Linked DNA regions of Arabidopsis thaliana. The protein of the gene in region 2 interacts with the protein of the main gene of each other region in a biochemical or structural test. Each region holds a gene or a part of one and is shown on either strand. Other genes may lie near its edges.

What was found. Proteins that work in one complex are often made in the same cells at the same time.
Region 1: the proteins of CAT2 (region 2) and AT3G54360 form a complex in vitro, tested with the Arabidopsis thaliana proteins (one study listed by BioGRID).

Annotation. Positions count from the first base shown.
Region 1 is NC_003074.8:20,127,589-20,133,777, reverse strand, and holds AT3G54360 (zinc ion binding protein), read left to right. Parts: upstream 1-1,864; 5' UTR 1,865-2,016; intron 2,017-2,176; 5' UTR 2,177-2,196; coding exon 2,197-2,585; intron 2,586-2,672; coding exon 2,673-2,907; intron 2,908-3,026; coding exon 3,027-3,172; intron 3,173-3,806; coding exon 3,807-3,894; intron 3,895-3,975; coding exon 3,976-4,122; intron 4,123-4,894; coding exon 4,895-5,044; intron 5,045-5,145; coding exon 5,146-5,208; 3' UTR 5,209-5,224; exon of another isoform or gene 5,225-5,485; 3' UTR 5,486-5,651; downstream 5,652-6,189. Other genes in the region: AT3G54363 (uncharacterized protein), read left to right, coding at 1,243-1,539. UniProt on the Arabidopsis thaliana protein: Has holdase chaperone activity that may fold catalase to a functional structure. Not required for the peroxisome import of catalases. Required for the activity of catalases and acts mainly at the post-transcriptional level.
Region 2 is NC_003075.7:16,699,786-16,705,166, reverse strand, and holds CAT2 (catalase 2), read left to right. Parts: upstream 1-1,662; 5' UTR 1,663-1,951; coding exon 1,952-1,966; exon of another isoform or gene 1,967-2,211; coding exon of another isoform or gene 2,212-2,226; coding exon 2,227-2,323; intron 2,324-2,399; coding exon 2,400-2,677; intron 2,678-2,755; coding exon 2,756-3,532; intron 3,533-3,614; coding exon 3,615-3,704; intron 3,705-3,805; coding exon 3,806-3,873; intron 3,874-3,962; coding exon 3,963-4,056; coding exon of another isoform or gene 4,057-4,062; exon of another isoform or gene 4,063-4,170; coding exon 4,171-4,230; 3' UTR 4,231-4,855; downstream 4,856-5,381. Other genes in the region: AT4G35080 (high-affinity nickel-transport family protein), read right to left, coding at 5,155-5,381. UniProt on the Arabidopsis thaliana protein: Catalyzes the degradation of hydrogen peroxide (H(2)O(2)) generated by peroxisomal oxidases to water and oxygen, thereby protecting cells from the toxic effects of hydrogen peroxide.

The DNA.
Region 1 (6,189 bases), on a different chromosome or scaffold from region 2:
TGATTGTTTACTTTTTTTTTTTTTTCACAAAGCTAATTTTATTATCAGCACAAACCATATCAGATACATAAACCCGAGTGAATTACGGGACGACAAAGCCGGCAGGATATAATCCTCCGGTACACAAGCCGGCGAGGAATGAAACCCCGACACTAAGCCCCGACATGGGGAAACGACGTAGAAAGACAAAATAAAACATGATTGATGATTTTACACATAAACATAGTTCTCTCTTTAACCAAATAAACCAAGATCGAAAATTAACTGGCATCGGAGATTTCGTCGGAGATTGAGACACCCACTTTAAGAAAATTTGATCTTCTTGCCTTACTTGATAATTAAAAATCTTCAGAAGAAAAACCTTGGGATACTTTGGATGGCAGACGGTGGAAACTCAGCTAAACATGCAGAGACCGTCGAGAACGCCGTGGCCGGAGATATCGACTATGCGACTTGAACCGGTAGAAAGAACCCAAAATCTGGGCGGATTTCGCCCTAGATCCGTATTGTTGAAGCTGTGTGAGGAAACCCAAAATTAGGTCACCCAACCCGAATCACCACAACACCGACAGTGAGTGGCATAGAGCGATCGTGATTAGGCCAGGGAGTATTTAGTCAGAGAAGAAAACCACGCTAATTTGCAAAATCACCAATCGAAACTATAGATCTAATAAGAGAAATTGAGGAGGAAACGAAATCGAAACCAACCCAGAAATCTCCTTAACCACAACTTAAAGAGACATAACTGAACATAAACCAAAAAGCCAAACCGACGTCATGACCGTGGTGGCTCACAACGCCGGCGGAATTGAAGCGGTGCTTTTGTTTTTAAGAGAGAAGGAAGAGGATATATTTTTTTTTTTTTTTTTTTTTTTTTTGAATATTAAAAATTGTTTACTTATGTTAGCTGATTAATATTAGTAGTATCAAAAACCGTCTGTTACAATTTTCCGATAAGGCCGTCCAATTGGTTCAATTGGCTTCAGCCCGACATCCACCGGCTTAGTATGCGGCGATGGTCGGCTTTCGTCCAGTAAATCCGGCTCCCATTAGCGGTTTTGGCTGGCTTGGTATTTTCATCTGCCGTGAATCGCTGCCGTGAATCGGTTTTATGCCGATTTCTTTTAGTCCTCTTTAGTTTATCTTTTAAAAATCTCTCTGATCTATGTTTGGTGGTGCCAACCTAACAATTTCTCGTTCAACGGTGGTCTCCAACTAGCTCCTTGAGTTTTGTTTTGTTTTATGTTTCCGGTGGTTTCCAGTGAGGTTATGCGGATATCTAATCCGACCAGATCGGGTGGATTTGCTGCTTTTTCTCTTGGATGTTCTCAAACTGGTTCTTCAGATCTTTGGTTACAACAAATCTTCATCGGTAATTATGTTCAATGTAATGAAAGAAGACTTGTTTCCAGCATATTAAGATTGCCTGTAGCTGTTTCAACATTCTCCGGTGACAAGCAACAACAAAAAACGATGCTTAAACTTTTTCCGGCGTCGATTGTGTTTACAATAGTCGGAGTAATTAACGGCGAAGGATGACGGAAAGTTTCCAAGCTTTTCTTGCAACACGTTTCATCTACGTATCTTTGTGTTTGACACGTGTATTGAGCAAAATTTTATCTTTAAGTGATGTAGCCATTTGGGCCATTAATGGGTTGTAACCATTGTGATGTGGATTTTAATAAAACTAAACCTTCAGTGAAAAAAAAAAAAAAGCTGATTAATATTAAAAATCCAACCAGTTTATAATCCAGAACAACGGTTTTCTTAAATTGACTAGTGACCCAAATTCTTAAATAGGCTACAAAAACCGCAGGCCCATTTAGTAATATCTATTTTTCGTTTGACTGAGAGAAAACAAAACACCATCCAATTCCAACGCACAAAAAAAAAAAAAAAAAAACTTATCGGAAACAGAAAAAAGAAGAGAGAGAGCTATCAATCGATCATTGATTGATTGCAGAGAAGCAGCGAAAGAGACATTTCCAAATCTAATCTCAATCCAATCCAATTCAGGTTTTTTCCATCTCTCTCTGTTGAGCTACTTCTGAATTAGCTTCTTCTATGTTCGATTTCCAGCTGTTGATAGTTTAGCTAGAGAATCAATTTCGAATTTCATCTTGAGGAAGCAATTTTAGTAATTTAGGTTTTGAATTTTCCTTTTGAGGTGTTGTAGGGTTGTTGCTACCTTCACGAATGACGACGACTTCTGTTTGCCCGTTCTCGAAAGCTGCTCGTCCTGACGATGGGTCGACTCGAAAACAAGGCGAAATTACCGCTTCTGGTTGTCCTTTTTCTAAAGCTGCTCGTCCCGACGATGCCTCTGCTCGAAAGCAAGGGGAAACGACGGCTTCTGGTTGCCCTTTTTCTAAATCTGCTCGTCCTGACGAAAATGGGAGTAAAGGATGTCCTGAACAAGAAGGAAACTTGAATAAGGACTCTACTGATTCTGCAACGGTACCTGCCAAGTGCCCTTTTGGCTATGACTCTCAAACATTCAAGCTTGGGCCTTTTAGCTGTATGTTATGTCAAGCACTTCTATATGAGAGCAGTAGATGTGTGCCTTGCACACATGTGTTCTGCAAGTAAGCCATAGTTGCTCGGCCGCTTATTTCTTTTTTGGCTCATGATTGGGTCTACTTTTCTTATACTTTGTGGTTTCTTGAATGCAGAGTATGCTTAACACGGTTTAAGGACTGCCCTCTATGCGGTGCTGACATTGAAAGTATTGAAGTTGATGAAAACCTTCAGAAGATGGTTGATCAATTTATTGAAGGCCATGCTAGAATTAAGAGATCTGTCGTCAATGGAACAGAAAAAGAAGAGGTCGAAAATGATAACAAAAAAGTGATTTACGCTGACGTTTCCATGGAAAGAGGTTCTTTCTTGGTGCAACAAGCTATGAGGGTGAGTTCTGTCTCTAAATTTTGTTGACCTAACCGATGGGATTATTCTCTTTTGCACCACTTACATTTGTTATGATGTCCCGCTGTGAGATCTTGTTCTAATTCAACTTGTATGCGCAGGCATTTAGTGCCCAAAATTATGAAAGTGCTAAATCAAGGTTGGCAATGTGTACCGAGGACATTCGGGATCAACTAGGGAGGGAGGGCAATACACCAGAGTTGTGTTCACAGCTTGGTGCAGTCCTTGGCATGCTTGGTGACTGTAGGTATGATATTGTCTTCTTTTTTATCCCAAGTTGTTTATTTCTAAGATGTATCCATTCTCGAGTTTCTGTGAACAATTAAGATTATGAAAACAACGGTGCTTTCGAATGTGGTCACCAATGTGGTCTTTTATGATCCCGCTTGAGCCACTTTGTTGTTCAAATTGATTTTTTTTAATTTGGAGTTTCTCAAGTATGTGGCCCTTCCTTGGCAGTTTCCTCAATTGATAGTTTCTCAAGTCGACTGGTTGTTGCTTTCATCTTGCTTAGAGTGCGCATGGCACTTTGGGAAATACTAAAATAATTTCTTTCTCGTTTGAACTAGATTCTGGTTTTCTAGATGGACCCTGTCTACATCAATTGACTGGAAATATATTCATATATTCAGATTTTTCTGTATCCTCTTATCATTTGCATACATCTTTCTCTGTGGTTCAATCACCTCGTTCAGAATAAATGGAAAGGAGAAGCAACAGTACATGCTTGGTTCGAAAAACCTACTTTATACATAATCATTTTCTCCTCCTGAACTGTGTTATTTTGGCCAAAATGTTTGATCTTCTGTTTGGTGTGTTGAATTTTTTCTTTTTCCGGGACTTAAGTTTGATGGTTAAATTATTTTTTGTTGTTGTTGCAGCCGAGCGATGGGAGACTCAAGCTCTGCAGTCAAGCATTTTGAAGAGAGTGTTGAATTCCTTATGAAACTGCCGTTGAATGATTTGGAGGTTATAGCACATTGGTTCTTGTTAAATTTTGATGTTGAAAACTTTTTACCTTTTTGCTTACAATTTTAACTTAACTTGCAGATTACACATACACTTTCTGTCTCACTCAATAAAATAGGAGATCTAAAATATTATGACGAAGATCTACAAGCTGCAAGGTCGTATTATGATAGAGCTTTAAATGTCAGACGTGATGCAATGAAGCACCACCCAAATGCTCCTTCACAAGTAAGTGTGCCCTCATACAGTTTTCTGTTTTTGCTCTTCTTTGTTTTGTCCCAATGTTTGGTTAGCTGAACTGGCTACTCTTAGTCGCCATATACATTTCAAGGTCTCGCAGAAAAATATCTGTTGTTAGCTAAGTTATTGACTTATTGTAGCATTCGTGAAGGCTCTTTTGTAGATCGTAATCTCTCACTCTCTAGGCAGAAAGCGTTTATTTATGTGATTGTTACATCTTGGTGTTCATTTGGGTCCAGGCAAAATGAATTCAAATGCATTAAAAGATATAGAGATTAACTTAAGGTGCTAGTGGATCAAAGGATCTGAAATACGATGTAAAGTGAAAATAGTATACTTGTTCTCAATGTGTTCAAGCGGGTTTCTTGGTTCACTCTTTTCATTTTACTTATTTGTTACTTTACCATGAATGTTCAGAGAAATTCTCTAAATAGTTTCCTAGATTTTATTCAAGTCAATTGCTATTTTGTTGCCTGGGTTGAACTGAGGTTTAGGTAACTGACGTGTTGTCGTTGCAGTATACATACTTGGATGAGGTGTCATTTAATTCTCTGCGATAAAGTTACTCTCTTTTGGATACATATAATTAGATTTACGTGCATTGTAATTGGGTTATTCTGTTGGTTGGAAATCTTCTCTTTGTTTTCTTATTTTATACTTGATTTCTTGCCTAGAGAAATTGGAACTCAAATATAGTAAGCAAAGGTCTGTCCGGAAGTAGAAATTGATTTCTTTTGTTATTTCTACATTTTTTATGTAGATTCTGGATGTGGCTGTTTCCTTAGCCAAAGTTGCGGATATAGACAGGACTCTACAAAATGAAGTTGCAGCGACAGATGGGTTCAAGGAAGGCATGAGACTGCTGGAATCTTTGAAACTGGACTCTGAAGATTCTGCTCTCGAGCAACGGGTAAGATTCTTGCACGACTCCCTTTTTATTTGTATCTTATCCAAAGCTGCTGAATGTCAGTAAAACTTTATCTGACAAATGTAATTTTAACATGCATGCAGCGGCTCTCTGTACTGGAGTTCCTTAAGAAGCAAGTAGAAACCGATGCTGAAACTGCACTCTAAACCGATGCAGGCTTAAGTACGTATATAGAAATTATACCTAAGTTCTCGTCTGTGGCATTTTGCTGAATAAAGAAAGCAAAAATGTTGTATTTGCGCTCAAGGGACAAAGAAACAGAGTTGTCTGTATGTTGTGAATTGTGATGGTTTTCAACTTTCAATGCACTAATCTTGCAATGTTAAATTGTTAAGCATGATTGTACTCTATGCACTTGTGAAATTTAAAAATTAAGATATCTTAAGCGGCTACAGCTGTGAACTGCTTTCTATTTCTTTTCAGTGCAAAATGAGAAAGAACCCAACAGAGATTGAGAGATGATGTGAAAGGAAAATGCAAGTATTTGCAAACTCAATCAGCTACAAAGAGTATAAATTGCGACAACAAAAATTTGTCTTTGTTGTTTTGTTGAATGAAGTTTTTCTTGTAACTACTCTTACAAAAATAAAAACATAAACATAGTCAATCCCTAAAGCCGATGATACTATGCAAACGACAAAGATATACTAACTCCAACGCACGAATCAACAAAATTAGGTCACTTTTACGAAAATAAATCTACATAATCAACAAAATTAGGTCAACTTCGTTCTATTTGTAAAGCTTTTTTCAGTATTTTTTTCTTTAATATGTTCACGTCTTTTAACTGTTCATATAATTACGTAACTAAATCTTTAACTTCGTATGTAAAACTATGTTTTTACGTATTAGATATAGAGAAATTGTTAAGAATGTTTTTCCAAAAATATGTTTTTTTAGTACTATCCTCCCATGTAATCATTTTTATTGATATTATCTTTTAATTATTAATGACTATTTTGCTTCTATTTGAAAATACTTAAATCAACAAAATGAAAAAATGATTTTTTCCGCCAAAAAATGTACTTCACATCAACTGCTATGAAACAATGTACTGATTTTATCAATTCACAAAAATTCTTGCCTCTAATCAATCGTGATTCAAGCAATCATGCAAAATCTTGAGT
Region 2 (5,381 bases):
TAGCTGGTTGCAAACACCAGCTATATTCGTTTATGGATTTTGGTCTAATTATTATTAAAAAAACAAAAATTAACCATAAGGTGAGTTTGTTTTGTGTATCCTTCTTATTTTTAACCAAGAAGGAACTTACATCAAGATTAGTTGAAATTTTCAAAAAGACGACACGTGCTGAGAAAAATATGTTCTTGATCCTTGACATTGGAAATGGAAGTAGTAGCTAGCTACTTAATCGTTGTATATCTTTAAGAGTTGGGCTAGACCAGATAATTCAGCCCATTTTGATGTATTAGCGACAATTCTTTTGATAGCATTTTTGGGCTAAGTCTATTCGTAATGGGTTTCAATCATCTCATTGTTTCTTCAGCACATTTTTGAGCCTGCTTATTTTTTTTCAGAACGTATGGAACAAGATCACATGTTTAATTATGTATGGTCGACATGTTTCAATCCGTTGGCTTTAAGGTCTTAATAACGTACGATACATTAGTTTTGTTTTGTTGCATGTAACCTGTGTGGTTGTACTTGTACGTTCACTACTTGTTGGTTTCTTTATAACCAATAGAATTCGGCAATTCAGTACCATGTATATGTTTTTCTTAACCGACCATATATTCCATAATTCACATGCCATCTCTTAAAAGAAATACAAGCACTCATAGCCATAGGTGGTGGATGAAGAAATATGTGTGTTAAAAATTTCTTCTATTGTCCAAAATCAACAGCTTGATCAGATGAACTTCTGAGCGAGCCAGAGGGTTCCAAGGTGGGCCATTGGGAACTTGATAAATCTCATCTCGTCACATCTCCCAAGGGGCAAAACAAAAACTTAAGAAATAATCAATTCAAAAGGCATATTCTTCCCGCTTGGGGCGTTCACACTATCTCATCACACGTGGAATCCAACAAAGCAGCCACGTCACCCAAGACCATACTAAACCACTTAAAAAGGTTTTGCTAAAAGGCCAAAAAAACCGGATAAGGAACCACAGCCCAATGACGTCCTCATTTATTTTATTTTCATTGAATTGCCTAATATTTATTTCTTTTGTCGTCCTTCTTCCTTGCTTTTGTTACCATATAAAAAAAACTTTTTTTTTAAGTACAGAATATATATATGACAATATCGCAATCGTGGGTTCAGCTTATCTTAAGTTCTCGGGAACCTAAATTCGGATCGCATTGACGATGTTGATCTATCAAACCACAGCCAGTTAGTTTATAAGGTTCAAAATTAATCGTTTATCAAAAACTACATGTAAGTTGGCTTTGTTCAACGAATTTTTAGAAAAACGTAAAACGATATAATTTGGCAGGACCAAATAAAAACCAATGCCATGGATTTCATCTTCTATTACATCATAGAATAGATTCAATTCTGTAAGGGTTGACTTTGTTTTAATCATTATTCTACATTCTCTAATAATAATAGATTTTGTTAAACTTGTTAATGTGATGTAAATCAAAAGTACAGTTATTTGCTATGAGTGTCTGAGATTAAAAGATAGTCGCACTAATTCATTTAGATTAGTTTATAATCCAATTAACAAAATAAAAATGAGCGAATAAAACAAATTAAAACTACTTTTTCTGAATTTGAATAAATAGTAGGTAACCGGTGGTTGGATTAAGAAAAATATATATGAAACAATTCGTGGTACTGTGATCATAAATAATACTTGACGTTCCTGAATTTCTCGCCACAATATATAACATTTGTTTTTTTCTTTCCAGTATTTATCACATGAAAAAACTAAAATAAAGAAAAAACGATAACCTTTAAAAATTCCCCCCTCAAAATAAAGAAAAAAATAAAAAGCTAAAAAGGCAGTAATACACACGCCATTTATAAATAAGGCAAGTGAATATAAAATAGTGCCTCATCATCATCAGTACCATCTCCTCGTTTTGATAAAAATCTCTGAATCTCTCCAAGCTCTCTTCTCATCAAACCATGGATCCTTACAAGGTAAACCCTTCTTTCTTTTCTCTCTAACCTTTTCGTCTTTTGTAATTTCTCCGTATAAACTGGATTGAAACGTTGTTATTAGCTTATGGAATTGCACCCAAAGTTTTGACCTTTTTTTCTACTCGAATCTGCAAATATACAATTAAGTCTTTCCATTGCTCTAAGATCATGTGCCTTTTGACTTGTGATTCTTTCGAATCATTGTGGTTTTTCTCTGATGTTAATTTTAATTTCCTTTGCAATTGATGATGATGATGCAGTATCGTCCAGCTAGTTCTTACAACTCTCCCTTCTTCACCACCAACTCTGGTGCTCCTGTATGGAACAACAACTCCTCCATGACCGTTGGACCCAGAGGTACCTCTTCTTCTCCCATGAATAAGTCTGTTCTCCTCAATGTTATTGTTGCATTTCTGATTGTTTTTTTGGGCAGGTCCTATCCTTCTTGAGGATTACCATCTCGTTGAGAAGCTTGCCAATTTCGACAGGGAACGGATTCCAGAGCGTGTGGTTCATGCCAGAGGAGCCAGTGCTAAAGGTTTCTTTGAGGTCACTCATGATATCTCTAACCTCACTTGTGCTGACTTTCTCCGAGCTCCCGGTGTTCAGACTCCTGTCATTGTCCGGTTCTCCACCGTTATCCATGAGCGTGGAAGTCCCGAGACCTTGAGAGACCCTCGTGGTTTTGCAGTCAAGTTCTACACCAGAGAGGTCAGTTAGTAGTTTGTAACATTTAAGAATGCTAGCAATTACTTATATACTAAGCAAATGATCATTCTTTGTATGCAGGGGAACTTTGATCTTGTTGGAAACAACTTTCCTGTTTTCTTCATCCGCGATGGGATGAAGTTCCCTGACATGGTCCACGCTCTTAAGCCGAACCCAAAATCTCACATCCAAGAGAACTGGAGAATCCTTGACTTCTTCTCCCACCACCCTGAAAGTTTGAACATGTTCACTTTCCTCTTCGATGATATCGGTATCCCACAAGATTACAGGCACATGGATGGTTCAGGTGTCAATACATACATGTTGATCAACAAAGCTGGCAAAGCTCACTACGTGAAGTTCCATTGGAAACCAACTTGTGGAGTCAAGTCTCTTTTGGAAGAAGATGCAATTCGTGTTGGAGGAACCAACCACAGTCATGCGACTCAAGACTTGTATGACTCTATAGCTGCTGGAAACTACCCTGAATGGAAGCTCTTTATCCAAATCATTGATCCTGCTGATGAAGACAAGTTCGACTTTGACCCGCTCGATGTGACCAAGACCTGGCCTGAGGATATCTTGCCTCTTCAACCTGTTGGACGTATGGTGTTGAACAAGAACATTGACAACTTCTTTGCAGAGAATGAGCAACTTGCTTTCTGTCCTGCAATTATTGTCCCAGGGATACATTACTCAGATGATAAGCTGCTTCAAACCCGTGTCTTCTCCTATGCCGATACTCAGAGACACCGTCTTGGACCAAACTACCTTCAGCTGCCAGTCAATGCTCCAAAATGTGCTCACCACAACAACCACCATGAGGGATTCATGAATTTCATGCACAGGGACGAGGAGGTACTTAATAGTACACTATCAATATCTTTATATCGAACTTGAAGCTAGAATACCATAGTCTTACAAGAAGCTGTTGTTACAGGTTAACTACTTCCCGTCGAGGTATGACCAGGTTCGTCATGCTGAGAAGTATCCAACTCCGCCTGCTGTCTGTTCTGGAAAACGTGAGAGGGTCAGTAATCAACTCTGTTTTCCTCTCTGTTTCTGTTTCCCATGGATTGGTTCACTTAAGAACATATGATCTAAAAGTTTCGAAATCTGTTTTTTTTTCAGTGCATTATTGAGAAAGAGAACAACTTCAAGGAGCCTGGAGAGAGATACCGTACCTTTACACCAGAGAGGTACTAATTGTTTTATTTTTGTAATGATGCTTAATGCATAAAAGGAACATCTGTGTTCTTAACGTTTTACGGTATGTTTTCAACTTCAGGCAAGAACGATTCATCCAGAGATGGATTGATGCCCTATCCGACCCACGCATCACGCATGAAATCCGCAGTATCTGGATCTCTTACTGGTCTCAGGTCTGAAATCTTGATCTCTGTTACTGTCATTGTCTCGTTCTTCAAGTCTCAGCAGTTGAAAAGTTGTCAAGTTTTAAACATTTTTGACTGATTGGTTAAAAATGTGTGAAACAGGCTGATAAGTCTTTGGGACAGAAGCTGGCAAGCCGTCTGAACGTGAGACCAAGCATCTAAAACGAGTGAAAGAATTCTTGATTGGCCTTTCTGTGGTTGTTAATTAGCAGAGAAAAGAAAATGGGAAGAGATCAAAGTTGCGATAATACAATCTTCATCATGTGGATCTTCTGTGCTATGTTATAATAGTATCTGTTTAAAGACCAAAAGAACCTTGTGTGTTGTTGTGTCTCTCGTTTATCAGAATAATACATTATACATTGAAGATTTATAATCCGTGGTGTTACTTGATGAAAGCTCCTTCTTCCTTGAAAGATTGTGACATATTCTTATATATTTCTCATATATTAACGAATGTAATCCCGTAAGAGCTGTCGACAAAGACGTGATTTTTAGTCTGCATGTTCTGGACGAAAGGGAATAGCAAAGTATGAAACGAAAAAGACAAGAAAATCCATAAATTCTTATGTGTGGGTATTAGGGAATTTACAATAGTTGTCAATATGTGTTGTAACAGTGGCCACATTTGTGTATAACGTCGTTGTATCAAGTGTGGGGTGTCGAGAGTCTTTAGATTTGGTGTGAATAATCTGACAATTTGGATTTGAACTCTGCTTTGACATCCTGACATTAGAAAATAAACTTGGTTTTGACATTTTGGGGTTTGTATTTGTGACAAGTACTGTTCAAATGATATAAACAAGAATGACTTTTTAGTTAAAATTTGATAATATTACAAAGTATGGTTACATGCAGTTGATCGATAATTCAGAACCAAAACCAAACTTCTCTTAAAAATAAGGAAAATAAAAAGAATCACCAAATGGTTTTCTCCGAGAGGAGTTTCTGAAGCAAGATTACGAGATTTTGTTCGTACAGGTGACAATAATACGAGTGATATGGACCCAAAAAAACCTCTCTTTCTTCTATAAGAACTACAAAGATTTCAACTTGTCTCATTTACCTGAAGAAGCTTTTACTTTCTCAGTAGAGGCTAAAACCAAAGAAAGGGCTGATGACAATTCCCAATCCAAGACCAATAGCCACAAGTGACGAAACCCAAGTTAGTTTCTCTGTGATCCTTGGAACTTTCTCTTTCAAAGCCTCACTGCAAGACCCAATAAACGCTGTGTAACTTCCCATCGCTATAACTGTCCCAACCAGAAACATTATCAAAAACGCAGACCCTGCTAACCGTGATGGGAGAGCTA